Linked DNA regions of Astyanax mexicanus. The protein of the gene in region 3 interacts with the protein of the main gene of each other region in a biochemical or structural test. Links are inferred from orthologs where the notes say so. Each region holds a gene or a part of one and is shown on either strand. Other genes may lie near its edges. The genes, in order: rad52, fbxo18, rad51 and rad54b.

What was found.
Region 1: the proteins of rad51 (region 3) and rad52 form a complex in vitro, tested with the Homo sapiens proteins (6 studies listed by BioGRID). The link is inferred for Astyanax mexicanus from reciprocal best matches to the Homo sapiens genes RAD51 and RAD52.
Region 2: the proteins of rad51 (region 3) and fbxo18 form a complex in vitro, tested with the Homo sapiens proteins (2 studies listed by BioGRID, with this or other methods). The link is inferred for Astyanax mexicanus from reciprocal best matches to the Homo sapiens genes RAD51 and FBH1.
Region 4: the proteins of rad51 (region 3) and rad54b form a complex in vitro, tested with the Homo sapiens proteins (2 studies listed by BioGRID). The link is inferred for Astyanax mexicanus from reciprocal best matches to the Homo sapiens genes RAD51 and RAD54B.

What each region holds. Positions count from the first base shown.
Region 1 is NC_064417.1:35,623,429-35,630,569, forward strand, and holds the start of rad52 (DNA repair protein RAD52 homolog), read right to left. Parts: upstream 3,012-7,141; 5' UTR 2,558-3,011; coding exon 2,489-2,557; intron 886-2,488; coding exon 784-885; intron 687-783; coding exon 593-686; intron 459-592; coding exon 391-458; intron 307-390; coding exon 188-306; intron 72-187; coding exon 1-71. UniProt on the Homo sapiens protein: Involved in double-stranded break repair. Plays a central role in genetic recombination and DNA repair by promoting the annealing of complementary single-stranded DNA and by stimulation of the RAD51 recombinase.
Region 2 is NC_064409.1:7,139,448-7,147,312, reverse strand, and holds the start of fbxo18 (F-box DNA helicase 1), read right to left. Parts: upstream 3,012-7,865; 5' UTR 2,776-3,011; coding exon 2,757-2,775; intron 1,705-2,756; coding exon 1,540-1,704; intron 268-1,539; coding exon 1-267. UniProt on the Homo sapiens protein: 3'-5' DNA helicase and substrate-recognition component of the SCF(FBH1) E3 ubiquitin ligase complex that plays a key role in response to stalled/damaged replication forks.
Region 3 is NC_064408.1:39,934,706-39,942,127, forward strand, and holds the start of rad51 (DNA repair protein RAD51 homolog 1), read right to left. Parts: upstream 3,012-7,422; 5' UTR 2,927-3,011; intron 2,921-2,926; exon of another isoform or gene 2,893-2,920; intron 2,725-2,892; exon of another isoform or gene 2,422-2,724; intron 1,674-2,421; 5' UTR 1,664-1,673; coding exon 1,574-1,663; intron 1,065-1,573; coding exon 927-1,064; intron 628-926; coding exon 510-627; intron 191-509; coding exon 4-190; intron 1-3. Other genes in the region: adgrg11 (adhesion G-protein coupled receptor G2), read right to left, coding at 5,058-5,188, 6,240-6,547.
Region 4 is NC_064408.1:109,702,955-109,710,149, reverse strand, and holds the start of rad54b (DNA repair and recombination protein RAD54B), read right to left. Parts: upstream 3,025-7,195; 5' UTR 2,915-3,024; intron 2,872-2,914; exon of another isoform or gene 1,548-2,871; intron 1,240-1,547; 5' UTR 1,236-1,239; coding exon 1,125-1,235; intron 265-1,124; coding exon 220-264; intron 1-219. UniProt on the Homo sapiens protein: Involved in DNA repair and mitotic recombination. May play an active role in recombination processes in concert with other members of the RAD52 epistasis group.

The DNA.
Region 1 (7,141 bases), on a different chromosome or scaffold from region 3:
TGGGAATCTTGTTGATGGCTACAAGGTACTCCTTGTTGAGGATGCAGTTTCCAAGAGCATTTCCAAAGCATCTTCATAGAGAGGTTCACAGAAGTCAGTTCAAACATGTTCCACACCCCATTACACTTCATATAATAAATGTTTACAGATTTTATATTTTTTTGTGTTAAAGAAATGGTTAAATTACTTCAGTGCTCTTTTCAGTCCATCTGTGACAGCCTCTTTTCTTGCCTTCTCCAGCGACAGAGCTTTAGACTTCAAGCCCTCACTCACACCATATCCCACATCTTCATGGTATGATCCATCCTGTAAGAAAGACATGCTCATTACTGTGTGTAAAGACTACCCATGAAATGCAGACAAATTATTTTATTTGACAAAAGGTATTACCTTTAGTTGCACTTTCACAAATGCACTGACCCCAACATAAAATTTACCATTAATCAGGTCCACAAAGTCTGTAATGAGTGAAAAAACTCAGTAAGTATAATCACATGCCAATGTTCAAAAATCTAATAAATCGGTGTTATATTTTTCATATAATAATAATAATAATAATAATACATGCACACATTATTAAGATTGTCCTTACCAACATTTTGTTGAGTAATTGAATGAGACCAGCCATTGTACCCAAACATTTCATTAGCTAAACCGATCACTTTGTGACCCTCAATGTAACACACCTGCAAACAGACAGATCAGACAGACAGAACACTCAGATACTTGTACAACAAATAGCAAACATTATAATAATGTAGATTACTAAACAGGACACCTTGCCTTTTGCCCCCCACCAGCCTGTCTAGTACTAATGTACTCTGGTCCAAGTTTCTGTCCAAGAGCCTTCTGAATTGCCTGGTACTCCTCAGCAGTGTATTTGAACTGGAAAAAAAACATATATAAATCACCATCATTATAACTATTTTTACTAATATCTACTACTGTTTCATATCCACAGATTGGATGAGCCTGGATTAAAATAGAAATATCTGGATCTGGTTAAAAAAATAATGGACTACTTTAATGTATGAGCACAACAGAGATGGGGACTTTGATATGATGTGTTTTTTTTTTGTTTGTTCTGTGTGTGTGTACGGGTGACAATAGTAATTGTCATTTATTGCAACAAAACACCTTTCTGTATAGATTCTTTACATTCACTTTAGTTTAGTTTAACGGAACTTACTATATAACACTGCTTAGAACCCCATAAAAAAGCAACATTTTATAAGTACAAAAGAAAAACTTTATATTATGACAAAAATTGGTTTAAGAAATTACATGCATTTGCTGAAGGAACATGGATAGTAAACTTTGTGTAATGCTAAATGTAAAATGCATGGTCTGCAGCAGACAGTTAGATTGAAGACAGTGAACATTGGCATGTGTTAGAGAGAATCAGATGTGGATGTACTACTTTCTGTATGTTATCATTATATACACTATATTTCCATAAGTACCCATTTGCCTGCCTTGCATTTGGTGATGTAAGGTTTGGATGGAATCCTATTATGTGAACTATTCTTGAGTAAACCTGAAGGCCACTTGATGTATTGGAGGCCTGTAGAAATTGACTTTGCAAAAAAGATGATAACCTTATTATGTACACTATGCTCCTCAGCATCCTCTAACCCCACTCTGTCTTTTTACGTTGAAAGAGCAAGTTGCATTCAGTCACTTCTACTTCCAAACCAAGAAAACTGTATGACTCAAATTCTATCACTGTATCACGCTGGAATTAACTGAGCCCCTGAGAGCAATCTATTCGTTCAGTAATGTTAGTAGAATTGGTCTGTCTGCCTAGGTGTTTGGTTTTATACACATTTGGCCATGGGAGTGTTTGTAACGCCTGCATTCAACGATTTGAATGGTTGGGCAAATACTTTTGTCAATATATGGTACATAAGCACACCTAGACCTCATCCAGACTGTCCTTTATGATTAAATCATGTAGCTCAGAGTTTCCTAGCTCCAGCCCTGTAATCCACCTGCACTGTGCAGTTTCATGTTTCCCTGTTCCAGAGTCTCATCACTAGATAATGATCAAGTCAGTCCTTCATGAGCTGAATCAGGTGTGCTGCAGAACTTCAAAACTAAAGTTTCAGGCCTCGGGCTAACACACTATACATGTTTGTGTTTACCACCATCATCCCTGATTTAGCTCATTTATTATGGGATACTAACTCATAGGTATAATTATGATACACTAAGTCATTACTATGAGATACTAAGTCATAATTATGAGATGCTATCTCTTAATACTAATTATGAGATACTAAGTAATTATTACGAGAAACTGAGTCAGACCCCCACATCTAATATCTCATAATTATGAACTAGTACCTCAAAATGAAGACTTGGTTTAGGGCACTACTGCTTCTTTACTGCACTTGCAATAGTAGTGTAGTATCTAGTGTAGAATAATCTGGCATGTATGTGAATGTGTAGGACTGAGGATCCCTAAATTAACCTGGCTGAAGTTTACCTGTCCAAAGCACATGCTGGATGTCCGCTGCTGGTTTCTGTCTTCTGGTCTCTCCCTGCTCTGCTCCATATTGTAAGTTAGCTGCTGGATCTTTCACTCAGTCTAGCTTTGCTAAACACACATTGATAACGTAGCTAACACGCAGGTACAAAAAGAGGTTTACAGCTCTTTCTCAAATAAAATATACGCAGGGTCACATGGTGCACAGTAACATCAGTATCAGTTAGGTCACTGATAAGTTAGTTAGCTTAGCTGCGCAGCTAACAGATACATTTTAGCGTCTACCCGTAGAGCTCCATTCACTGAGCTGCACAGGTCCTCCGCCGCCCTGCAGCTCCGAGAGTCCGGCTAACTTTAACTCCTAACCTCAACTCTTAACTTTAACTGGCAGCGTGCCCGCAGTTATTCTGACTGTATGGGTGGATAAAAGTGTTTTTAGCGTTTAAAAATCGATTTAAGAGACTGGAAATCGTAACTTCCCGCGTCAAGGAAAGAAATAAACGTACGAATCACGTGACCGACTACCCGTGCGTCGTACGTCATATGCAAATATCAAAAACGTGCGGTATTATATTATATTATATTATATTATATTATATTATATTATATTATATTATATTATATTATATTATATTATATTATATTATATTATTATAGGGATATTCATTATGTAGCTGATTGGTTGGACGAATCTGCACAATTATCCTTACAGAGATATTTAGTGGTCTTTTCCTGTAAAGCAGTGGTCCTCAAACTTGTTAGACCAAGTTAAGTTTTAAGTTAAGGTTTCTGGTTAATAGAGTATTTCTACTAAGACAATTTAGACAGATGGAAACAAGAGTGCCAAGCTGTAAACTGCTTTGTTTACTACTTTATTTAGCTATTAATTGTATTTTTATCAGTTCATCTTGTGTATCACCTCGGAATGCTTTGAGTTTGAAAACCTGCTAAAAATATAAATAATAAAATGTTAAATGTAGTTAACTCTATCCCTAAAGGTTTAATTAATGCTGAGGAATCTCGTGCATTTTTACACCGTCTACAAGTTCAAACCTTTGCTTTATATTAATGGTCGAGACTTCAGAAATAAAAACTGTTCTAATAAACTTATAATAATTAATAAAGGTAAATTTGTTAGGTAATGAATGAGATGTGTTGTCAGTGTAAATGTTTTGTTTAATTTGTTAAAGCTGTATGGTTGTTTGTTTTAATTTAACTCGAATGTCCTTTCTTGTATTATATTATATTATATTCATTAGCTAAAATGCAGTAATAATTGTATTAATATTAGAAAAGCATTTCTGTCCGTAAGACATTTTTACTGATATTTTATGCTATGATAAATTCCTGCATTTGAAATAAAATGAAACACTGGCTTTAAATGTCGCCTTCATAGACACTAGCAAGGATTACCCAAATCCTTATAGGCATCATTAATAACGTCTCTGGGATTACTGGGACTGGGAGTCCAGTCTGCCAAGCATCCTGACAGATGGGATGGAAACAGGACTGGACATGAATGGACCCCCTACTGAGAATTTCACATTTAGGTCAAAATTGTTGTGACCTGATTTCAATAGTATTATGACAAAGGAACAGGAACAAGTCTCATATGCTAAATTAATTTCATGCAGCCCACGTTTTTGTTTCTATTACCTGCTCAGTTTATTTTAAGCCTAGGCCTTTTCTTATTTTTCAGACCTATTATTTAGTAAAAAAAATGTTACATACACTTTAAAAGATCCCACTAAGAACCAATGGGGTTTTCCTGTACATAACAAACCCATTTAATCTGGCAAAATATATGTAAAATCCAGATCCATTCAGAAACGTTCCTTTATTTTGAGAGTGTAAGATTTAAAGAGTTTTAAAGGTGCAATATTTGCTGCATGCTTACAGAAAAGCATTGACAATAGGAAATGGGAAATGTAGTGCATCAATGCTTAATTCTAAAGTCACCATGCCCAATACTAGATCTGACTAGAGGGGTACAAAGCCTTCCAGCATTGTGCTGTGAAGCAGAACTCTCTGGCTCTGTGGATCTCAACCCAACATCACCTAGCTAAAGACCAACTGGTTCCCAGAATAAAAACACCCTACGCTGGTAGGCTTTCTAGCTTTTGATCAGCATAGGGTAAAGGGTTTATTTTTTTGTGTGTGACCAGCTGGTCTTGACCTGGACAATGCCCACCTGCTCTGCTCACAGCTATTATGTTCCAACATTTACTATAAAGCCTTCTTTGAAGATTATAAAGTGTTACTGCATCAAAGAACAGAAGTCCACATCATTGTGCTTAATTTCAAAACAAACCATAGATGATTGGTCTACAAACATTCGGACACCTCACAGTGTAGATGTGATTTGCAATGCATGTTTATTACATAGTTGGGGTGTATCGGTACTTGTATTCTTTACAAAACACCATGATCTGGAGGTCATAGTTTGGTTTCCGCAAACACATGCAGAATACACAACACAGGCAGTCTATACGAGACTTATGGAACCAATGAACCTAATGTGGAACTATTGTTCACAGGATGTTGCACCCGGAAAGTGTAGCTGTAGCACTGTTGCTATAAGTAACTTGCTACTGGCTGTGACTGAAATAGCTCCCTATTTAACTATTTAGGGCATTATTGATTACGACAGCTGTTTTTCTCTGAGTGAACGAATCGTAAGGTGGAAATTAAGCGGGATAATCACCCTGATTTATAGTAAACATCGCTGCTTACTACGCGAGCTGAATGTGTCCCAGAATGCATTGCGGGAATCACTACTAAGCAACAGACATATGTACAAAAGGAGCAGACAGAGCCCTCAGGGTTGCCAAATTGTCACAGAGGGATTCAGGTAAACTGAATTTACGGGTAAAACGTGTTTCAAATCTGCCAAAAAAGCAAAGAAAACGGCCCAAACCGCTAATGTTCAGTATAACAATATTACTGGGTTTATTCCAACAGGATCTTAAATAAAATACCATAAATATCTTAAATAAATTAGAATTAGAAAAAAAAAAAAAAAAATATATATATATATATATATATATATATATATATATATATATATATATATATATATTTAAATGATTTTATCTGCATGTGTGTTTTATAAATGAGTTTAGTGTATCATAAGACACAAGAACCATGTAAAGTAATTACAGTTCATAAAAATAAATTTACAAGCAACAAAAGAAGTAAATACTTATACCAAGCTTAATAACTAACACAAACACTGCTTATTTAACTTTCCACTAGCAGGACTAGCTCTCTGAAAGGTTATCTACAACACTGATGAGTTTAATTTCTTAACGTAGATTTGTCCACCCGTCAAAGCACAGCGATTTAGCATGAAACCATCCAAACTGGCAACATTGGGAGCCGCTGCACGCTGTTAATTTCAGGTTTTTCTCCATGTTGTAAACAGCGTAAATTTAACCGTCAGAGATTACTCCATGAACTTTAATTCAGAGCTCAGTTCGTGTGTTTATGGAGTAAACATGGCTCAACCACTCAGGTGTGTGTTTATGCGACCGGTGCTGGTGCATGATAAAGGGAATGTCCGAATTCACTGCTGTTTTCACCACTACTGAGTGAACTACTAGGCCCAATCCCATTTCCCCCCTTGGCCCTACACTATACCCCTAGCCCTCTGTTTTAGGCGTGTCCTGTTTCTTGTTAGACTGGAGGGCTTCTTAGCTTCTTAGCCCTTCATATAGAGATTTTTCAGAAGCACTTCAAACGAAGGGAAATGAGAATCACTGGTAACATGGCAACACAAAGTAATGCTTAGAACATTTTTTTGGTTTAATGTGAAGTTTCAATGTTTTATGGTCGAATTCTTTATAACAAGCATAAAAAATATCGCTAGTAGTTTGTCTCAGTAGCTAGCTAGCTAGCTAGCTCACTTTCCTGTTCCACCCTCCCTGAAATCAACTTTTGCAACTTGGGATGTCTGCGTAATGGAAAAATAAAATAAAAGCCAATTTAAGCTTATTTCAGCTCCCCATCACAGAGAAATTAAGGAATGGACAATAATAATTAATTTCTACACCACCTCCCCCCTTTATGAAGACATACAATGCCCTAAGGTAAACCTGTTAACCTGCAGCTAGGTTACTGAACTTTAGAGGTCCTGGTGACATATTGGGTGCTTTTGAAGGGTGTCCCAATTATTAGGGGGAAGATTTCACACTCAAAAAGAAGGGGTAGGGATAAGTGGTAGGGCCAAGGGGTGAAATGGGATTGGGCCATATTGTCTCCATAGAGCAATACACTAATGAGGGAGTAGGGAGCCATTTTGGTCACAGCCCATGGTTATCATGAAGTTTCTTTGTTATTATGAAGTTAATAAAGGGTAGGCTATAGAGAATGCCCAGCTTCTTTATATTTTCCACCAACCGTACCGAACCGTGGGGTTTATACCGAGGTGTGAACCGAACAGTGAATGTTCTGTACTGTTACACCCCATTACATAGTGTTGCATCGTCTGAAGGTCCAGGTAGCAGCAGCAGCAGCGGCGGCAGCGCCACCAGTCTGTCTGGTGTCTGTCTGCTCGGGCAGTCTGCGAGTCTGCCAGCAAAAAAAAGCAGGAGTGGCTTATACTACGACTAAAGCAGAGGAATGATGGGCGGCCAAACCAAGCAGCAGCAGCAG
Region 2 (7,865 bases), on a different chromosome or scaffold from region 3:
CTTCTTCTTCTTCTTCAATTTTTTCTTTCTTTATAGGTCTCACACCCATTTCAAACTCCTCATCATCCCCAAACATGTCTTCAGTAATGCCCTCCAAGTAGTCTATTGTAATGTCTTCTTCCTCCTCTTTTGGTGAGACATGTCCATTCTGCTGATTCTCTGTCTTGACTGTAGGCGAACCTTTAACTTTCTGAGGGCTGCTACTGAGGATTCCAGTTGAAGCGAAGAATTTGGTGATTTCTCTTTGCTGCTTGTCGCCTTCTGTTGCTGCAAAACATAACCAACATATTAACCCATATTAAAATAAGCTACAGGGGAAGCTTATGAATTAACTTTTTGAAACAATAATTTAAAAAAATCAGATAAGGCATGAAAAATGTGCCGAATAATTGTATTTTCATGTATACTGGGAGATTTCTATGGATTTTTATTCTACATGTTAAATAGGGTTTGATTCTGCCCTTGATACGTTTTATTTGGCCAGGTGTGAATACAGAAAACATACTTTGATACAGACCAAAACATAACACACAATGCATCTCAACACCCTTGAAAGTACCATAAGTGGTCTCAGTTGTAGTTTAACCTGGTATACTACCCAGATAATTAAGACCATTGTGAACAATGTCACCCCTGCTGCTGCTCCATATAAAACTGCACAGAAATATGCTCTAGTTCAGAACACAGGACCTTTTTACTGTATCTGGTTTCTTGCCTGGCACGTTGTGATGCATTATAGTGCACTTGCATTTTTCACTGTGTAAAACAAACCAAACCCAGTGGAAGAGTTAAGCTACCCTAACAACGCAAACAGCACATGTTAATTGTAAAAGTCTGACTAATTTCTTAGTCAGCTAACCCTAGTGTAATGGTTTACTGGTTTAAGGTAGATTTAGTTTAGACTTAGCTCAATAGAATTTCAATATTTTCACATGAGACAACCAACTTCTCCTTTTCAAAGTTCTGTCAAGGCAACATCAGCCAAAAGCTTTTGAAGAACAGTAACTGTCTATTCTGTTACATCAGCACTGTACTTGATTACTTTCAGGGCTATGAGAAATTACTGGCAATATGACAGCACAAGGAACCAAATGTAAGATTTTTTTCTTGGTAAAAATTACAATAACCACCATTTTGTTCATAACAAGCATAAAAAAAGTTGTTCTTCTCAGTAGCTAGCTATTTTCAGCTCCTCATCAAAGAGGAATTAAGTAATGACAATAATAATTAACTGCTGCACAATCTGCCCCCTTTCTGAAGACTTTTGATATCACAATAGTTATGATACGATAGTTAATCAGCAGTTAGGTTACTGAACTTTTGCATACCACTGCTATAACCTATATCTGTATAAGGTTCTTGAAGGGTTTTCACGATTCTTAGGGGGATGATTTCACCCTTCCCCTTGTAACTCTGTTACACTCTAAAACAAGGGTTAAGGGTACAAAAGAGAAATGGGATGGGGCCAAAGATACTGGTTGAATTTCTTGAACTAAGTACTTAGCCAACTGTGTGTCACATATACATACATACACATACCTCTTCTTCTTCTTCTTTTAGTGGGAGTCCTTGGTTGCATCCCACGATTCGGGTCACCGTTGTTAAGGTTGACAGTGAAAGGCTGGGTGATCGACTGGCTGCCAGTTTTGCTTTGGCTCAAACTGTGGCACTCAGAAGCACTGAGGTGCCTGCGTTTGGCCTTTCCTAAATCATCAGAGAAACAGAATTAATAATATTAAGAAGAATGAATAGACAGATCTGTACTGAAGCTTCATTTTCATATAAATGAAGATATGTATCTTATATATTTTACTGTTGTGCATTTCCTGACACCTCTGTTCTGTCCTCTGCAATACTAAAACATTGCAAATTTCCCCCATTGTGTGATTAACAAAGGCTTATCTTATCTCTTACTCATCTTAATTTATCACACTTTTCACTCAATTCATCAAGGCATTCTATCAATTTAATAAATCTTTTCTTAAATTCATTCTCTTAAATCAAGACATTTTCCTTTAATAAAAAAATCTATTTGGTCAATTTAATACATAGTTTCCTCTCAAATGAATAAACATACAACCGTTTTCCACTAGGGCTGCAACTAATGATTATTTTGGTGGTCGACTAATTTGATTATTATTTTTTTGATTAGTCGATTAGTCACCGATTATTTCTGCCATTTCCTCCATCTCTAAAACCAATAGAAACAGCTGAAGATGACTTTTAAAGGCATTTAAATGTCTAGATGTTGTTTAAATGTGCAAAATACTGATATTCAGTGAGTAAGTTAAATATGTTATGTTGGATATGATCCATTTACACATTTCACATTGAATTTTTGTCATCAACACTTTGTGTTATGCGGGACTGTTATAAATGAACGATTAGTCGACAATGAAATTTGTAGTCGACAAATTTAATTAATCGACCCTGTCGATTATATCGACTAATAGTTGCAGCCCTATTTACCACACACACAAACATACATATAAGCAAGCACAAACAGCATACATACACACACAAACAAGCAAGCAGGCTAGGTTAGCTAGTTTTACCTCTCTTACTTTAAAACATTTAACTCGATAATTTATTTAATATACGAAACATTAAATCAGTCTAATGTAGGCAGAACTGCAGCATGTTTAGCTGCTGTAGAGGTTTTATTAGAGAGTGAACGCTAGCTGGGTTAGCGTTGGCTATACAGAAATACAGCCTGTAGCTACAGGTATCTGTGTATCTGTGAGCGAGTGAAGCACCTCTGGAGGCCGACTCCATGGCTGAATAAACTCCGCACACAGTCCGCACACTGCACGCTCAATACCGGTTTAAAGGGCCTGTGAGCATCGCCGCGTTATCCCATCGATGCGTCCGCTGTTTCTGTTTAGAAAAGTATTCTCTTAAAGTAAAATAAACGAAGTTAAAGGGCGCTTTAAACTCCCTCACTGCGGAGCTTCTCGCACCGTGAGACTATCGCTTTGTAAACTTCCGGTCCATTTCCACAATAAATTCACAGTAAAAGTCCTGTTTCTAAAAACAGAAGAACACATTTTTATTTAAAAGTAATTACGAATAACTCCAGTGTTGTAAAACGACAATATATATGTAGCAAACATATTTAAACAATAACACAAGATTTTTTATATATATATATATATATATATATATATATATATTTTGCACAAGTAAAAGCACTAGATGGCAGTAATGTCTTCTCAGGGTACTAAGTACAGGCTAAGATTTTGCAAAGACTGGGGATCTTATCCATGACCTAGTAATAAAGTTGTGCATTTAAATAAAATAATAGCGTACTTGAACTATATGCGGAATAATTAAAGTATACTTTTTCTACTTTTTCAAACATTTAGTATTTTAGAAAACTTTTTTTAAAGTATACTTTATTTGGCTGTGCAAATTTTTTACTGGTGATGTAATAAAAAAATATATGCTTAGTATTATTTAACGAAACTGTGCTTTTTATGATTAAAAATATGCTTTAACTGAATATGTCCTAGGAGCCTATATTATAACCAACCCTTGCACATAGACCACTGAGGTGGGTCAATCTGTAGTCCTCGTATGGCTTTTTCCTTGTAAGGAAAATGAATGGGCTTTTTTAAAAAAAGCTCTATCACATTCTGTGGTAAATAAATATGTTCAGAACCCTGTACGTTTTATTCTGTGTACATTTTACTCCTAAACTTCACTTTTGAGATCGTTTAATTAAGAGTTGTGATTAGAAAAATGTTAGCTTTAAGCTAATGCTACAGTGCAGCTGCAGAGATCGGCAGGGGAGTCTTTTCGGCGCAACACCAGCGTATGTTTCTACCATATTAAACCCAGCTGATCCAACTACTGAACTAACTGCCCTCACTGAGGAGAGCTGAGACCAGTTTTAAACACTGTAACACGTTTTACGCGGTGAAATAAATTAGAGATGTTTGTGTTTCTGGCTCGTTGTTTTAGTACATTAAGCTACGTTAACATTTGTTCTTATAATAGGTTTCAGTGGGAAAAAAATACACATATCTTTTTATATGAAGTATTTTAGACTCTATGGTTCTTAAGTTAGCTGGGTTAGCTCTGTGGTTCTGGAGTAACTTTGTCCTGCTAGTTTTTTACTTAGCTTGCCTCAGCGAGGGCAGATAGTTAGTTGATTAGTTAGTTGTTAGGTGATTATTTGGGTCAGGTGTGTTTTAATTAGTATAAACTAATGACCGTAATTTAATGCTAAAATGAACTGAACTGAGAACCACTTTCTCTTATTATCTGCCTTTTAAAGCTCTAACACAGACTACACTGCTCAACATCACCATACTAAAATACTTTTTTTACCTCTCTGAATGCTTTAATGATCCTCTACCCACTTTGGGTACTTAGTTTCATAGGGGATTGATATTTCTTCTGTGTCAGTGGTCCACATTTTGCTCTATCCCTTTGTGTGAGTTGAGACTGAAAAAAAAACAAGACTGGACTGTCTGGGGAGGCTAGGGATTGGTTTCAGAGCCCCCTGTACCATGGCACTGCTCCAAAGAACCCTTTTTTACAAAACAGGTTTAGGATGACAAGTACTGGAGTAGCTTTTCATTTATACACTCTCACTTAAACTCATGGTAATTAGGTCTGTATGAGCAAAACATCAACAAAGTTCACTTAACTGTAGAAGGTGAAATTCCACCAATTGTTCTAAATTGGCATAATCCAATGGCTATGACGTAAACAAAGTCATTGAGAGTGGTTTGTTGTGAAATGGTTCACCGTAGAGAAAAAAGAAAACAGTCCTAAGAGCCACTTAACTCCAAACCATATAGCTGAAATGTGTTCCTTTTACGTAATGAACGATAGCAGTCCTGCTTAGTCTCTGCAGCCCCTCTCAGGTTCAACTGTGCTATGGACTCCTGCCCAGTTTATAAACCCATACATCACACAGAGCCCCTCTCAAACAACCCCTACCAATTTTTTTTGCCTTTTTCAAATTTGAGCTGAGGGTGGAGTCAGCAGAAATCAGGGGGTTTAGTGCCACTTTAATGTCTACACTTTAAATGCAGCCCTCGTATTTACTATCCAAAACCACTAGTGAATCTACACTTTACATTTTATATTTAATGATGATCCGGATAAAACAGTGGGCAATCAGAAAAGCATGCTTTCTTTTTGTATTATTAAATTATATTTCAAGCCAAAAAGTCATTAATCATTCTTTCGGGATTCTTGACAGGATTTCGGCTCTTGCTCATGAATATTCATACATGCAAACATAACGTTTTAAAATAAAGACATTTTTACACTAACAGTCTTTGCAATGTTATATGTTATATATGTTATGTTACAACAAGTGCAGTTCAGCCACTGACCTAGTCTTAGAGTCTCTGTAAAATGCAAAATCCACTGGAGATTCTGTGTAAACCTAGTTACTTACACACAGAGGTGGGTAGTCCAGGTCCAGAAAGTAAAATGTTTTACATTAAACTAGTGTAAACAGAATTGTTCTAATATACACACCTACCTATCTCAGTTGTACTTCGCTGGTGGTGTTCCATAGACACACAGCTCTGCCTGTGGGCGGTTGCGAGCCAAGGTGGGCGTGGCCATGAATACCAATTCACAGGTTGACGTAGACACGTTGCTTTTCCTGATCAACTAATTTTTCTGAGCATTTTCTTTTACTTGCTACTGCAGAAAATGGAGGTTTAGGAAGAGTTTCATGTGCAGCATCCATATACAACTCAGAGAGACATATTGTATTTTACAAAGAACAAGAAAAATTGGATTTTAGCGGAAGGACAAGTTTAGTTCATAGGCAAAAGTTTTATTGTGATATTGAGTGAATCTCGGATTTAATTCCTAACAAACAATTAGGTTTTGAAAATCGATAATATTCTGTTTTTATAAATGATGTGGGAAAATCTAGTCCCTTGTAATGTAACACTACTAAACTACATCTAGTAGTTTCTAAGTCAGTGTTGTTTGTTAAAAGTTGTGGCTATGCGTGCTTGTGCCAAATTATTTTTGGACAAATTTTCCATTTTTAGATTCTGGTGAACACCTCCAGTCCTCAGAGCAAATAAGAAAAGGTGTTGTGTCCTCCAGCAGCTCTCCCAGCAGAACTTCAGCTCTGTCTTTAGTTTTCATCTTCAGCAGCAGATGCTGCAGGCTAAAGCCCGGTGCTTATTTAATCTCACAGGTACTGTAGCTCCTTTATCCCGCCTGCCTGAACCCTCCCCTGCCTCCCACTTGGCAGCTTTTCTTCTTTGCCGAGAGCACAACTGAGTTATTGTATTACTCTTATCCTTGTTAATACTCACAACACCTACATCAACGTAACTTTTTTCCGCTTTGCTCTTTTTCCTCCTTTTCTTTGTTTTGTTCTTTTTTGGTTCTTGACTATATTTTCTTTTTATTTGTTCTTGCCTAATTTTATTGATTTTGATTGATTATTGACAGATATTGACAGTTTTTTTGGGCTGTTTATGACATGCATGCTCTGATACCGCTTAGTAAAACAGCTTTGGCTGTTAAAATGCCTTTCATATACTTACTTACTCAATATAGCTGTAGTGCTTTATCGTGTGCAATATTCTATTTACAATGTGTCCTGTGATCTCTTTATCACCATTTGTGCAATATGTTTAACGGGCAATATTTTTCTTACCTTCCCATCTATGATTTATTTGCTATTTATTCACTGTTAGTCCTTGTGCAATAATACTGGTCACAACCTACCATAATCATATCTGCTCTGACCTTATCTTAGCTGCACTAGATGTATATATTTTTCTTTATTATATTTTTTGTAATCTTTTGAATGTATAGATTTATTGTTATTTGTTTATATATTTTCCTGATATTTTTCTCTCCTTTTCTCTGTGCTGCTGTAACATTGCAAATTTCCCCATTGTGGGATTAATAAAGGATTATTTTATGTTATCTTATCTTATCTTAAATGCCTTATTAGTTTGATATGTTGTGACGTGTATGTTGTTATGCATGCGTCTAAAGTCATACGTCTGAAGTCATTTTTTGCGTTCTGCATTGAATAGTCAAATCAAATAGTCAACTCAAATGAGAAATCTACACATATTACATTTGAAGGATATTACACACAAAAAACTCTGTGAGCAACAGCGGGACCTTTGGTCCACTTGGCTCTCCCAGCCCACAGTTTATGCAGTTAATAAGGGGAATTCACTTAGTGTGGGGAATCACATCATTAGAGACTTCTCATACAAGGCATATGGGTTCCTGTCATTTTTTCCAGTGGCTGGACTGGAAGGTGGCTTTGCTAAGCTCTGTCCGTGTGAAGCTGCACGTAGCAGAAAGCTCTACTCAGCACAAGTCTAATGTGTGTGTGTGTGAGGCAAAGAGAAAGAAAGAGAGAGGGGTGTGTTTGGTTGAGTCAGCTTGGAGTGAGGAGCCTCCTCGTGACTGGGGTGTTCATGACATCATGCAAAGAGACGAGAGAAAGAGAGAGAGAGACAGCGTCTCCTAATGTAGCTCATTCCCCCCTGAGGACTAATCTAAACCACTCACTCACTCACTCACTCTGTCTCTGAGAGCTTTAAATAGAGGGAATCTGATCCAGCCCTTTATTAGTGGCAGTTTTATCTCCTTATGTCAACAAATGTATACCTCAGTGATCCAAAGATCTTCATGCCTTTTGTTAAATCATTGACTTCACTGACTTAAAGCTGAAATTCTTAGTTTCTTTGATTTTACCAAATTGAAAACCTCTGGAATATAATCAAGAGGTAGATGGATGATCACAAGCCATCAAACCAAACTGAACTGCTTGAATTTTTGCACCAGGAGTAAAGGCATAAAGTTATTCAAAAGCAGTGTGTAAGACTGGTGGAGGAGAACATGATGCC
Region 3 (7,422 bases):
CACCTCTCAGCAACAGCCAGAAGTCTCTCTGGACGGAACGTGCCCTCGGTGTCGATGTACATGGCTTTGCCTTCCCCTCCTCCCTGATCGATAGGCAGCTGACATGTGACTGCTAACGTGTGACAAAGCTGAGTCTTTCCTGTACGAAATTCCCCAAACATCTCTGTGATGGAACCTGTCTCAATACCACCTATAGACAGGGAAAACAAGAGAAAGCAAGAAAGTGGCTCTATTAACAAAATACATGTTGGCTACATACAAATGCAACAGACATCACAGTGGTGAGTGGCTGGAGCATTTTTGTGCAAAAGCGTAGTAACATGAAGTAATGAAAAAGGTTTCATTTTATATGTATGCATTTCATCTTAAATTGTGCTCTGCTGTTTTTACTTACTTTTTCTGCCCATTTAATTTGTGATTTATGTAAAGAACCTTGAATTGTGTACTAAAAAAACATTTCAATGTTGTTTTATAAGCTACATTACAACTGAGGTCAAACAATTCCTCACCCTGCAGAAGCTTGTCCAGCTCTTTGGAACCAGTGGAAATCTGAATGATCTCAGCTCTCCGCTGGTGAAATTCTGTTGCTGTTGTGAAGCCCATTGGAACCAGTTTAGCAGCCTCTGCCTGCAGGAAACAATAAAAACATAAATTTAAGGATTTAAATATCAAGGAGATTTTATTGTCATTTCACATCACATGTGGTACATGAGGTGGAACAAATTTGTATTCCCACGGTCCAGTTTACACTCAAAGAGCAATTGTTTAAAATAGAAGAATAAAAAGACAAAGTAAAAAGTATAATCGTAAAATAATAAAATAGAGAAGAAAAATACACAATATATAAAGACGTAGAGAAGTAGCAGCAACACGAGTTCCAAGTTGCTATAGCAAAATGGATGATTATTAAGAAGTGCTGAGCTCACCAAAATCTTGTCAGCTTTGGCCTCACTGATGCCCTTAATGTTGATCAGTTCTTTTTTGGGGGCATATGCTACAGCCTCGATGGTGTGAAATCCCGCATCTTCCAGCTTTTTCAGGTCACTGGCACTGATACCACATTGCTGCAGAACACAGAAACAAGCACTTCATGAACAGAAAGGACTATCGACAGCTTTGTGACACCTATATGTTACAAACAGATCCAACAAGCAAAATTTCACACTCTCTCCATGGGAAGGTAGTATTGCACTAGTAAGAGACTGTTGCACATCTGTTGACAGACTTTATGTAGTGATTCTCTAGTCATTCGTCAGTGATCAGTTCTGACCACAGAGCAGGTTTCAGCTCTTGCCCAAAACTAAAACACACCCATTTCAACCAATTAATGAATTTTGAGATCAATGATTAGTTTGAGCAAAAGTCTGCATAAAAGTAGCTCTCCAAAAGGACAGGCCAGATTGAAGACCACATATTTATTTAGCAGGTGTTTCTGATAAATCGACCAAAGAATAAAGACTCAATTAAAATGTAACAGCTTATGAGAAATCACTGCACTTCACTCTTGCATCTGGCTCTTTAAAAGAAAAGAGGCATTGCTCATGGCTGAATCGCTAGTTGTGTTAAATCATACCTCCAGGCGGTTCAGCGGCTGTGGTCCAAAACTATCCTCTTCTTCAACTTCTGCCTCCACCTCCACTCTGCTTTCACTTCTCATAGCCATCTTCAATTACCTGGACCATATTTACAGACATACAAGCACAAATCAAAGCTAAAACACTAATACTGGGGGTACCATCAACAAATATTTTTTTTTATTTAATTAAAGAATTTAATTTAAAAATGTTACAACTAGTCTGCTCTGTTACACACTACACAAGCTCAATATTATTTATTTTAATAATATCGTAATAAATATTGTATTTTGGTAAAAAGTCGTGATATCCTAAAAAACAAAAGCTGGAAGGTTAGTCACATTCATTTGATTAATTGGATTCTTGTTACATTGCATTTATTTTCAAAATGGGACATGTTTACGTACAGAACCTGCCAGAGGGAATCTCACTAGATAGATTTGTTTTTCGGTCAAAAAGAAACTGTAAAAAAACTCTAACTCTAATGTAACAGTATTTTTAAAGGGAGCTGCTTCATAATCTTATAAGAATGAATGGTTATAATTATGACTTAGATTGAGAGAGAGAGAGAGAAATATATAATTGGTCACAATATCTCCCAGCTCTAGTTACACAATATGTTTACCATATCTGGCACAGCTAACCTAGCTAGCGTTAGCTAACCCATAGAAATGGAATTTATCCACTTGAACATTTGACAACTTTTCTGCCCTGTTTGCCCGCTGTGAGAACATTAAGATAAATTTAAAACTAGCAGAAACTAAGAATAAATCGGTGTTAAAACCAAACACGAGAAAAACAAAGAGAAAACAGTAAAGAGAAAATCACTAATCGTGAACAATCGTACCTAGTTCACCTAACTTAGCTAATCTATAGCTATAGCTAGCGTTAGCTTAGCTACAACAACAGGGCGGTAGTAGCTTTCGCTAGATTTAATTTACAAAGCCAGGAGAGCTTAGTTAAGTTAGCCAAAACCAAAATGACCCGAGACGAGTGTGGTCGAGTGTGTTGCTCTGCTCTGGTGTGCTGCAGTGTTTCTGACCGCAGAGCGTCCAGATAACCCCGCGCTCCTGTTATTGAGTTAACTCAGCTGTATCTGGATCAGTTCAGCTAGCCTGCACTGAATCAGAGCGGCAGCGGCAGCAGCAACAGTAACAGTAACAGTAACAGCTAACGCGCCTCTCCTCTTCTAACACGTTAATGCAGCTGAATCCGCTGAGACCCGCCCCGGACCGGCGCTGTCAGAGGTCGCCTACTGTTGCTGTTTCTGGGGCTGTATTGATATATCATTAATAACTGAATAAATAAACTGAATTACAGATAAATAAACAGAAGTAGAGGAGCTCTCTCACCGACTGGCCTCACAACCGAGTTTCCCGCGCCTGCGTCACCGGTCACGTGACACCGAGCGACGTCACAGCGGGCGTGTTTTTTATCTTTTTGCCAAAAAAATATTATTTCTATAAAAAAAATGCACCCACGTCAGTGTAACCTTTAGCAGTTTAATTGCCTAACTATAGCTGAATTTATAATGAAGAATAAATTGGGTTTCACCCAATTTTCCAATTATCAAGTTTTTAATTTCAGCATTTTGCAAACAGAATTTCAAGAAAAATTAAAAGTTGAAGGTCAATGTAACGTTTATTAATTAAATTTTCTGACCATTTGAGGCTAAATGCAAAAATTGGATGTAAAAATTCATTATTTTTTTATGTTGTTTAATTTTTAATGTAGTGCATTGTACAAGAAAAGGTTTTAATATTTTTTTCCAATTTTAGTTTTTTCATCTCTGCCCTTCACAATCGTAATTTTAGGAAAAAAATTAAATATGAATATTTTATTTTCAGATTTTTTAATTTTGCAAGTTGGATTATACCATCAGATTTGTGTTAAAAGATACAAAAATGGACAAATCTGGAAATCAAGAGATTCAACTTTTAATTGTTCTTGAAATTCCGTTTGCAAAAGGCTGAAATGAAAAAAAAATTGAATGAAAACACATTCTTCTTTATTTCGAATTTAGTTTGATACAGTCATACTTTCATTTTTCAGATTTGTCAATTTTTGTAACTTGTAAACACAAATCTGATGTTATACTCCAACTTAAAATGCAAAAATTGAAAAACCAGAAAATAAAGAAAATATTTTTTTTTTCATTAACGAGCCTTGGGATCTCTTTCCCACGCCTTTATTTTTTTTTTTTTTTTACATAATGTCACCTTAGGGGCTCCGTACGCTTGTGAGGGGCAGAGATGGAAAAAAGTAGATTGGAAAATGGATGAAAACGTATTTCTTGTACACTGCACTACATAAAAAAATAGTTTTTACATTCAGTTTTCTATCTTTGCATTTGTTCTCTAACAGTCAGAAAATGTCATTAATAAACGTTTCACTGAGCACCCACACCTGGCAAAAATGCTTTAATCGCTGCGTCCTATGATAAATATCTCGAGTCGTTCCAGTCATGATCGCTAGGTCTGAAGAGGAGTATAACCGTCTGTTTCCAGGAGGTGGCGCCAGCAGCACCCTGTCCTCTGGCTGTGCCAAAGCAGCTGGTATTTACCACAGACTCGCTCTGGAGGCTCTAAATTTAGTTATAGCAGAGATTTTGCATTGAAAGGAAAATGTAATATGTGTCTAGGCTTAATCTCTGTCTGGGAAACTGACCCATAGTGTAGAGTGGACTGTGTTGGTGGAGTTGTGGTGCAGTAATCTGACTTTATGCCAGTGCCAGTATAAAGCATTTTATTTAATATTTAAACTCAAAATAAAAAAAAATAATAGTTAATTACTAGCACTTAAAGTTACAGCAAGACTAGAGACAATTCATATTCACATAACAGACATTACAACATTAACAGAACAGAAACATTACATCACAAAGTATATTATTTATACATTAATAATCATTTTCTGCTGCATATTTACATCACTGTACTCAATAAGAATTAAACATGCAAAACCTTTTTAATGTAAATCACACATAATTTATATCATGTAGATTTTGTGTAAAAGCAATGCATCTGAGCTTTATGTACAAAACCCCTTACACAGCCAGTCACACATTTCTTTAGATTTAAATATTCACCCATTTTGGTAAAGGTAAGGGGTCTATAAGGAACTCTGACAATAATGACTCAATAATGTTTTGGGTGTGCAAATGATTTTTCTAAACTATGTAAACTGTACAGGGTTCATTACATAACATCTGTGCTTTTACACTGCATGTCCTCTACACTACTTGACTTGACTGAACTCTACCCATTCCGACTCTATTCGACATCATTAAAATGTTTCTGATTTTTGTTGTACTCTGAGACCCCCTTTTAAACTCCATTGTATATAGTCATAAAAATAAAATTTCTTACTGATCAAAGATAAACATGTCAAATATTCATGTTACGCATATTATATACATAATAAAAACAAAGAACTAGAGATAGTACCTAATACAGAAAAAACAACAGATTTAAAACATTTTTTCTAAAAGTTTTTCTGCTTCTCGTAGGGGTTTTCCATCTGCGTGGCCTCTGTGGTGTTGCTGGTTTCGGCTGAGATGGTTGAATCCCCAATGAACTTGCTGGTTTTGTAATAATAAATGAACAGGAAGAATCCTGAGGAGAGACATGAAAAGTTCCTAAATAAGCAAATAATCAAGTAATCACTTAATTGTATTTTTTTTATATGTGTGCCTTGGACAAATATTTTTGAAACTGAGAGGAAGTAAACTTCTCAAACTAAAAATGTATCTAAATCTCAGTCTGTTTCTCAGTCTTTATTAACATAATATAAATCATCAGCGTTACCTGTACAAACACATAGGTGTGATTTGAATCAGTATCCTGTTTGATTTATTTGATGTATGCATCCAGGATTTACTGGTATTTTGTTTAATTCAATCTACTTTCCATATGTGCAGTGTCAGTGCTATGATGGCAACATCTAAATATAATGGGCCCTATTTTCACCTATCTATAGGTGAAGCGTCAAACACGCACCATGCAGCTTGATTTAGTGTAGATTTGGTGTAGATATATTCACAATCACTGTTGCTATATAAATGATGCAGGCAGAAGGCGTGAAAATAGACTGTCGATGGGGTTAATTATGTGTAAGATAGCAATGAGCATCATAACGCACCTTGTGTAGGGTCCAAACAGGCCCAAATAGTTGTGTCAGGAGCATAGACTCATGTCTCATTTTTTACCTGACTTTGTGTAATCTAGTATTGTATAATGGTCAGAGACTCTAAACTGGTCCCCTTAATATCCAACGAAAGCCGAGCACAAAAAGTAAACACAGGAACTAGTTTTCTTTTTGTGCTCAAATGAATTCAAACTGCCACCACATGAAGATGAAGTTTACTTCTTATGTTCTAATGTTTTGGGGCATTTGTTTCAGTTCAGGAGCAGGTTGGAGTTGTAAAGCGTACCTAGTTTTTTTTTTATGTGACAGACATTTTCTATTTCCCCCCAAAAAATCAGAAAACTGTGAGAATCAGGCTCAGTCTTTTATAATCTGTAAAAACAGTTGTTCAAAATGTTGTGTAGTGTGCACAAGTCTCAATAATATCTGGCATTGCAGATACTTTTAGAACATGGCTGTTTCAAAAGCAGTGTTAGTATTGTAAAACTGATTGATACGCTCTTTGCTTTCATGACTTACCTTGGAAGGAATTGAGAATTGTGAAGATGTAGTACGATGGGAGGCGCAGGGCACCATAGGCGAAGAAGGCGAAGCCCCAAGTGACTCCAAGAGTGAAGCACAGGCCCATTATGGTCAGGATGTCCGAGGTGCCTGTCCCTGTGCGCTTACCCGAGCCAGAGGCTGCCTTTTTGTGGCCTGCTGTGGTTCTTTTGAGGAGGACGATCCACCGCAACATGACCACAAAGGTCGTGAAGGTGAAGGCGAAGATTACAGAGTAGTAGCCGATGTTCACAACGTAATGGACAGAAGAGTCTATGATCCAACACCTTTAGAGCAGAAGGCAAAGTTAAGATCAAAAGAGTCATATGGAAACTTCTGACTTACTACTGGCACCCACCCACTATCAGGGCCTAGCTCGAAATCGAATCATGTATTTATTGCCTTGCTATAAGCATGCAGGCAACCTTAATCACAAAATAGCACCTTAATGATCAATTTACAAATTACTGCCATCCCAAGTCTTTTTGTGCCAATAAATATATTCTGACTAACAACTGAGCCGAATTTACTTTTGTCTGTAAATTAACCAGGAAACTCAAAAGGACTCCAAGGAAACACTTTTTTTTTTTTACAAATTAAACTTAAATTTAGGGCCAATATGTTAGCTAACTAAAATAGAAAAATGTAAATTACTTTCCTTTATCATGTTACAGTAGGAACCCCTAAATTTAAAATCTCTCTGACAAAAATAAAAAGCGTTTTAGAAAATTTCTGTCTGTGAACAACAAAGGTTCCAAACCCGAACCGTTAAGGCCTGTGCACATTTTCCCCCAAAATATCTATGGATTGTCTAAATTAGGAGCCCATTAGCTAAAGAGGTGAAAATGTGCAGCAGTGCTAGCTTAGCATGTGGTGGTTTCCATATCTCACCTTCTTTTATAAATGTAACTATGTTAATCCGGAAATTTAATGTACTTTTCTTGACAAAACAAATATAGAGAAAATATGAGGAAAAAAGTAATGGATGTGGCATCCACCACTATGTAAACCAGAGAAAAGTCTTTACTATGTCATTAGTAATAGACAGAGGCCTGCATTTGGTGAGATATTTGGGTGGTGAAGTATTTTGAACCCCAAAAAGAGGCCACAATGCAACAATGATAATGTGTTAAAATATCTACAGATTAATGAGCTACTAGGA
Region 4 (7,195 bases), about 70 Mb from region 3:
ATGTCCTGTTTGCACAATACTTTTTATTTACTGGGAAAAAAAGGAAACAAAATGGTATACAGATTGTAAAGTGTAGCATTAAAGACCTAAACTACAACTTGGAAGTGAAATTAGTTACACTCTCGAGGTGTAAGTATGACATTTTTAAATGACAAAAGCCAATCAAACATTTGCTCCGATGACAGAGAATAAGTTATTTTAAAAAAAATAATTACTGACCTCAGGTGCAGGAACATGGCTCTCCACTCTCTGAGACTGGTGATGCTGTTGCAAGAAGTAAAAAACATGGATGGGGTATTATGGTATGTGGCTATTTTTGAAAAATTAAATACTCATTATTAATAACAAACATTTATATATGCTTAATTCTAAAATATATTGTTTAAAATAATTTTCTATGCTGCTTAGTTTAGAATATAAATTCAGTCTCAGATTTCATGCAAGTGCACATCAGGCCTCCAGACAAACTTTTTTCACAACTTTCCCAGATTTGCCTGAAGCGTTCTATCATGCTCTCCCACAAACTAATAATCATAATCATTCCCAAAATATATTTTTTGACATTACACTTTATTGTTGTATTCATTGTGTATTGTCGTTGTATTAATCTGCATATTATTCTACTGCCATAACATCTTTGGTTAGACTTCATCTTCTAGGCATCATCTCCTGGTGTTACCAGCAACCTGACTGGCTCTATGTTGAAATGTGGGAATGTATCTGTAAACAGATTCTGTGCTAAGTATTAGGAAAATTTCATATTTCAACCAGCCAGCAATCATCTAATAAACAGCTCAAATTTGCCTTTCCAAAAGAGCTGTCCATGGGACAGTGGATTGTGTTACTTTGGAGACCTGGTACATGCCTAGTGAAGTAAACTGGGTTAAAACAACATAAACCTGAAGTACACTGAAGTATACACTGAAGTATCCTGTCAAATCAGATGCTATGCACCTTTGAAATGCAATCCATGTAACAGAGTAAAAAAACGAACTAATTTACTATCAGCTCTTTACCTGACCACCTGGATTTTTTTGTCATGTAAAAGACATTACTGAACCCATATCAGCATTCATACACTGAGATAGCCTATCAACTTTTCCTAAAATCCTTAGTTAGCTTACCTTGTTAATTCCATTGCCCAGTACTCCAGTCTGTGAGGGGGCAGGAGGTATAAACCTCGGCCTCTTCACAGCATTGCCCTGAAGCTGACTGGGGGCTGCAGAGCGGCGCATAATGCTGAGATAAAACACATCAAAACTGTTAAGTTTGTGCCAAGTTTTAATGAATCAGTGATATTAAGAAGTCAGAATTAAGAGGTCTATTATTAATAATAGTGCTGTCAGGCGAGTAAAAAAAAAAATAATTAATTACTTGCCCTGTGAATATTAATCAAAATGAATCACATTTAAATTGCATTCATCATAAAAATATTTTAAACTGTACAGTTGAGTTGAATTTTAGCTGAGGAGCAAACAAATGAATAACTGGCATAGACGTAAAAAGCTCCCTGTGATGAACAAATGTAAATACTGTACATCTCTTACTGCACTAATCCAATTTGTTATAGATTGGTCAAGTTGGTTGTGGTGGTCATGCTGATATCACTGCTGTGCAGGGCTGCAACACAATTAGTTAATGGACATAATGGACAATACTGATTATTCAAAAAATGACGACTAATCGTTAATTTGACACTGCACTACACAAAGTGCTGGGGACAGAAACACAAATCACATTTAGCTTGGTCAACAAAAGTGGCAGACACAACAGATTACATAATGTCTTACTAAATATCAGAACAGCTGTTTAAGCAGATTTTTTTTGACAAATTGGAAAAAGAATATTTGTCAGATTAATCGACTACCAAAATAATCACTAGTTGAAACGCTAGTGCTGTGTCTAATCTACTTGTACCAGCACAACACATCACACAGTAACACATTACACAATAACACAACACACTATAACACATCACATCACACTATAATAGATCACACTATAATAGATCACACTATAACACACAATATCACATCACACAATATCACATAACAAAACATATCACACGATAACATAACACACTATAACACATCACATCACACCACACTATAATAGATCACACAATAACACATCACACAATGACATCACACTATAACACACAACAACAAATATCACATAACACATATCAACACATCACACGATAACATACAATATCACACATCATCACACTATAATAGATCACACATCCCACAATTTCATCACATCACACTATAACACTGCAGTGCTGAGACAGATCCAACACCTAAATTACAGGTTAGCTGCTCTGTGCATATCGCCCAGTCCTATCTGATGGACAACAGCTCTAAAATAGTGTGATGTGCAACAAAACATAATAAAAAAAGATGTCCACTGCAATGGATGCTAAAAGAGTCTAAAAGAGTTAAAGCCTTAATATTTGATATTAGCTAGCTATATGTACTCCTGACAGTAGAGTAACTTAAGTCACAAACCTATAATAAAGCCCAGTCATGCAAAAAACTATAAATAAATTATAATAAAAATACCGTGATAGACGGTGAAACTGTCAGAATCTTGAAGAATACCGTGATTTACATTTTTGGTCATACCGTCCAGCACTAGAATTAGCGAAGTTAAGAACTAACTAGCGAGAGTGTCAAGTGTCCTGTATGATGAGTGAGTGTATAAACTGGGAGGTGGTAACTTACAGGGGCAGCTAGGTTGCTAGCTAAACTGAAATTAGCTGCATTTTGTTGTTGTTGTTGTCAGATTGAGGAGCTAATGCTAGCTAAGATAACTACAGCTGTGAAATATATCTGTAAGAAGCAGTAAAACAGACAGCCGCTGTGAACAGCTGAAGTTTAATCGTTTTTAGATTAAAATATCGCTCACTTGCCTTTTATCGTGAAATCCTCCCGTATAAATACTACAAATGCTCAACTACAACTTCTCCGCTTACTTTAGCTCCTACCGCTGCTGGGAAACCTACACAGAGTTTCGCGCCGGGAAGACATAGCTCATCGCTGATTGGTCGAGCTTATGTTGCCAGGTCCAGCAAAACTCCTAAAAACTAACCCAACATCTATCTAATGTTGTCACAGACGTTGAAAGGAAAGAAAATGTAAATAGAAAAAAACTACTAGAACTCATTTAAAAAAGTGTACTACACTTAAAACCTCGCCTAGTAGCAAAGAACATTGAATAAACGTCAGCCTGTCACAATAAAAATAATTTGTGGACGATATACAGCTCTGGAAAAAATTAAGAGATCACTTCAGTTTCTCTGATTTCGCTATTTATAGGTATATGTTTAAGTAAAATGAACATTGTTGCTTTATTCTATAAACTACGGACAACATTTCTTCCAAATTCCAAAATATTGTAATTTAGATCATTTATTTGCAGAAAATGAGAAATGGCTGAAAAAAAAAATGCAGAGCTTTCAAACCTCAAATAATGCAAAGAAAACAAGTTTATATTCATAAAGTTTTAGAGTTCAGAAATCAATATTTGTTGGAATAACCCTGTTTTTTAATTATGGTTTTCATGCATCTTGGCATGTTCTCCTCCACCAGTCTTACACACTGCTTTTGGATAACTTTATGCCATTCCTGGTGAAAATTGTTTCAATATTTCGCTTGATTCAATTGCAGATGTTTTTTAATTTGGTAAAAGCAAAGAAACTAAGCATTTTTTTAGTAGTCTCTTTTTTTTTTTTACCGAAGTGTGTCTTCCCAGACATTTTTGTGATAAACAATATTAGACCATTAAATGTCACGGACATAGCAATAATAGAATAGCATAACACAACAATCATACTATTTTAAAGACACATTCTTTCTTTACTGCAGTCCACGCGAAGTGAATGTGTCACAGTTACTGAAGAATATTGGTCATTGCATGACTGGCTAAAATACTGTTCACTGTTATATACAGTGGTGAGAAAAAGTATTTGAAGCGTCATGATTTCTATTCATGTTTTTCACTCTATAATGTTTCAAATCATCAAACTAATTTAAATATTAGTCAAAGACAGAACAAGTGAACACAAAATACAGTTTTAAATGAAGTTTTTATTATTAAAGGAGTAAAACAATCCAATCCTACCTGACCCTTTGTGAAAAAGTGTTTGCCCCCTACATCTAATAACTGGTTATTCCACACTTAACAGCATTAACTGCAATCAAGCATTTGTGGTACCTTGCAGTGAGTCTTTCACAGTGCTGTGGAGGAATTTTGGTCCACTTTTCTTTACAGAATTGTTTTAATTTCACCACATTACAGGATTTTCTAACATGAACTGCCTTTTTTAAGTCATGTCACAGCATCTTAATAGGATTCAAGTCAAAACTTTGTTTTGCTTCAGCCATTCATAGGTGGACTTGCTGGTGTGTTTTGGATCACTGTCCTGCTGCAGAACCCAAGTTTGTTTAAGCTTGAGGTCACAAACAGATGAAAACCACAGTGATGGAAAAATCAACGATGATACAATGTCCTTTTGATATTTGGGTCTGTTAATCTTATTTTGTTTTTAAATTTAAACTCTAATTTATACATTTTTTTAAATATTTGGTTTATAATGTCATTATTGTTAGTATTGATTTTAGTTTATTATTAATAATAAGAATTAAAATGTTATATAATTATTTTACAAGGATTTTTTTTTTATAATAATTGCCGACACCTTGGCTATGGTCAGTGTTAATGAATCACCACATACAATATGTATCTATAGTTCCAGCAAAAGTGCTGTAATGATTTGTGAGTTTTTCTTGCTGTAGTTTATGATAATTACAGTTTTTTGTGTGATTGTTACTTCCTCTTATTAATAAATCTCTCTCTCTCTCTCTCTCTCTCTCTCTCTCTCTGTCTCTCTCTCTCTCTCTCTCTCTTTGGGTTTAGGATATTTTAAGGAACTTGTTTTTTTTGGTCCTAAATACTTTAATTTCTAAAAAGGAAAAAGTAGGGTTTTAAATATTATGGGATTAAAATGGCATGGGACAGCAAAGCTGGCAATTTGGTCCACAAGAAAAAACAAGATTCACGGCAGACTGATCCTGTCCTAATGGTGAAGGAACTGATTGTGAAACTTTAAATTAAAACTGATTATGACATTTTAAAAATATCCCCAGAAAACTGTGAATACCGGGAACTTGGCAACCCTTGGTCGAGCGCTGAACCGGTCCTGAAAGGGGCGGAGCGAACACAGTGTTTGTGAAGAGCAGAAACAGCATTAAAGTGTTCTGCATGCAGCATCTGAGAGGATACCAGTGTACTGGGGTCTAAATATGACAAGAAAAGACCTGGAATGTGAGGAATATTAAACCCGTGTGCAGGTAGGTGATGCATCTTTTGCATAGTCCTGCAATAAGTAGTGGTGATAGAAGTAAATAAATAAATAAATAGATAGATAAAAATAAATAAATACATAAATAAATAAGAATATATATATATGAGTATAAGTATGTGTATTGTGTGCATTTAAGCAGATACATAAAAATATATTGGTGTAATAGTGTAGTAATGCAACAGTGCAATACCCTACTGAACAATGCATTTATGTTTTGTGGTATAATGAGTGTCTGTTATGTGCACTGTGAATAAAGCAGTTGCATGCACATTAAAAATGCATGAGATCTGTAAATATGTGCAAAATCAAAATGTGAAGTTGATGCATGTAAAACAGTGGAGTCTACTACACTATATGTCTGATAATTTAACATCTGGCGTGTCTGTCTGAGAGGACACAGTTGACCGGTGCATGTTTAGAAATGCATGCATAAATCAGCTGTTGATGTCTGCTGCTGTGGCAGTGTTGCCATTGAGATTATAATCCAATCACAGTCCGGGAGGCTGTAATCCTTTGTAATCCCACCACAGCCACGAGGAGCAGAGATCATTCAGGAGATTGCAGTGAGAGTAACGGCACAGACAGACACACACACAACTGTCCTTAATAAACATGTCCTTCTCTGTTTCCCTTAAAAAACCTGTCCAGAGTGTCCACACACTGTCTTTAACTTTTCTTTAACTTTAATGAATGCCAGTCAGTGAACAGCTGCAACAGCTGCAGGTGGAGTATAACACTATAGATGACCTTTGGGCTGCAGGTTGACCTCTCGTGAGGATGACCTGGTGGTAATTAATGGTCACCTGAGTGGACACGTGCAGGATTAAATGTACAGCATGTATACCTTAAGATCCCACTCACGAGGAAGGGCCAAAGCAGAAGATCCTTCAAGGGAAATAATATAATAGAAATTCAGTATATGTAAACTATGTGTGTTTGAGGTCACAGTCATATATATATATATATATATATATATATATATATATATATATATATATATATATATATATATATATATATATATACGTATATATATACGTATATATATATATATATATATATATATATATATATATATATATATATATATATATATATATATACATAGCCCTTTGAAGACTCTATAATACTCTACTGTAAACTTATTAAATTGTTTAATACTGTTTTATCAAATGCTCTTACAGACATCAACCATCCATTTTAATTTGGCTTTTTAAAAGGCACTCTTTTAACTGCACTCGCCATGTCGGCTCAAAAGAATTCTTAAGATCATTTGTAAGGTACACGGCCAGTATAATGTTTCGCAGTTTAATTTTCTAAAGTATCAATCTAAATTAAAAAATAGAAAATTGAGTATAAAACGTAATTATTATTTTTTTCATTTAGTAGAGTGAAGAAGAACTTGGTTTTCATTCAATTTTTCAATTATATAGTTTTTCATTTCAGCCTTTGGCAAACAGAAAGAAAAAATGAAAAGGTGAATATTCCCTATAATAATATTTTCAGATTTATCTATTTATCTTGTTACAAAATACAGAAATGGAAAAAAAGCAGAAAATAAAGAAAATATATATTTTTTTAATTTTCCTGAAAATCCATTAATGAGGTGCAGAGATAATTGGAACTATAATAAACTATAAACTATAAACTAAATTATAAACTATAATTGGAAAAAATGAATGAAAACTTTCCCACCCACTATTTTTTGTAAACTGCACTACAACTCAAAATATCCATAGAAGCGAAATGCAATTAAAAATACCCAGCTCAATTTTCATGATGAATGGACCAATAGGAATGCTTAAAACTTATTTGAAATAAAATATT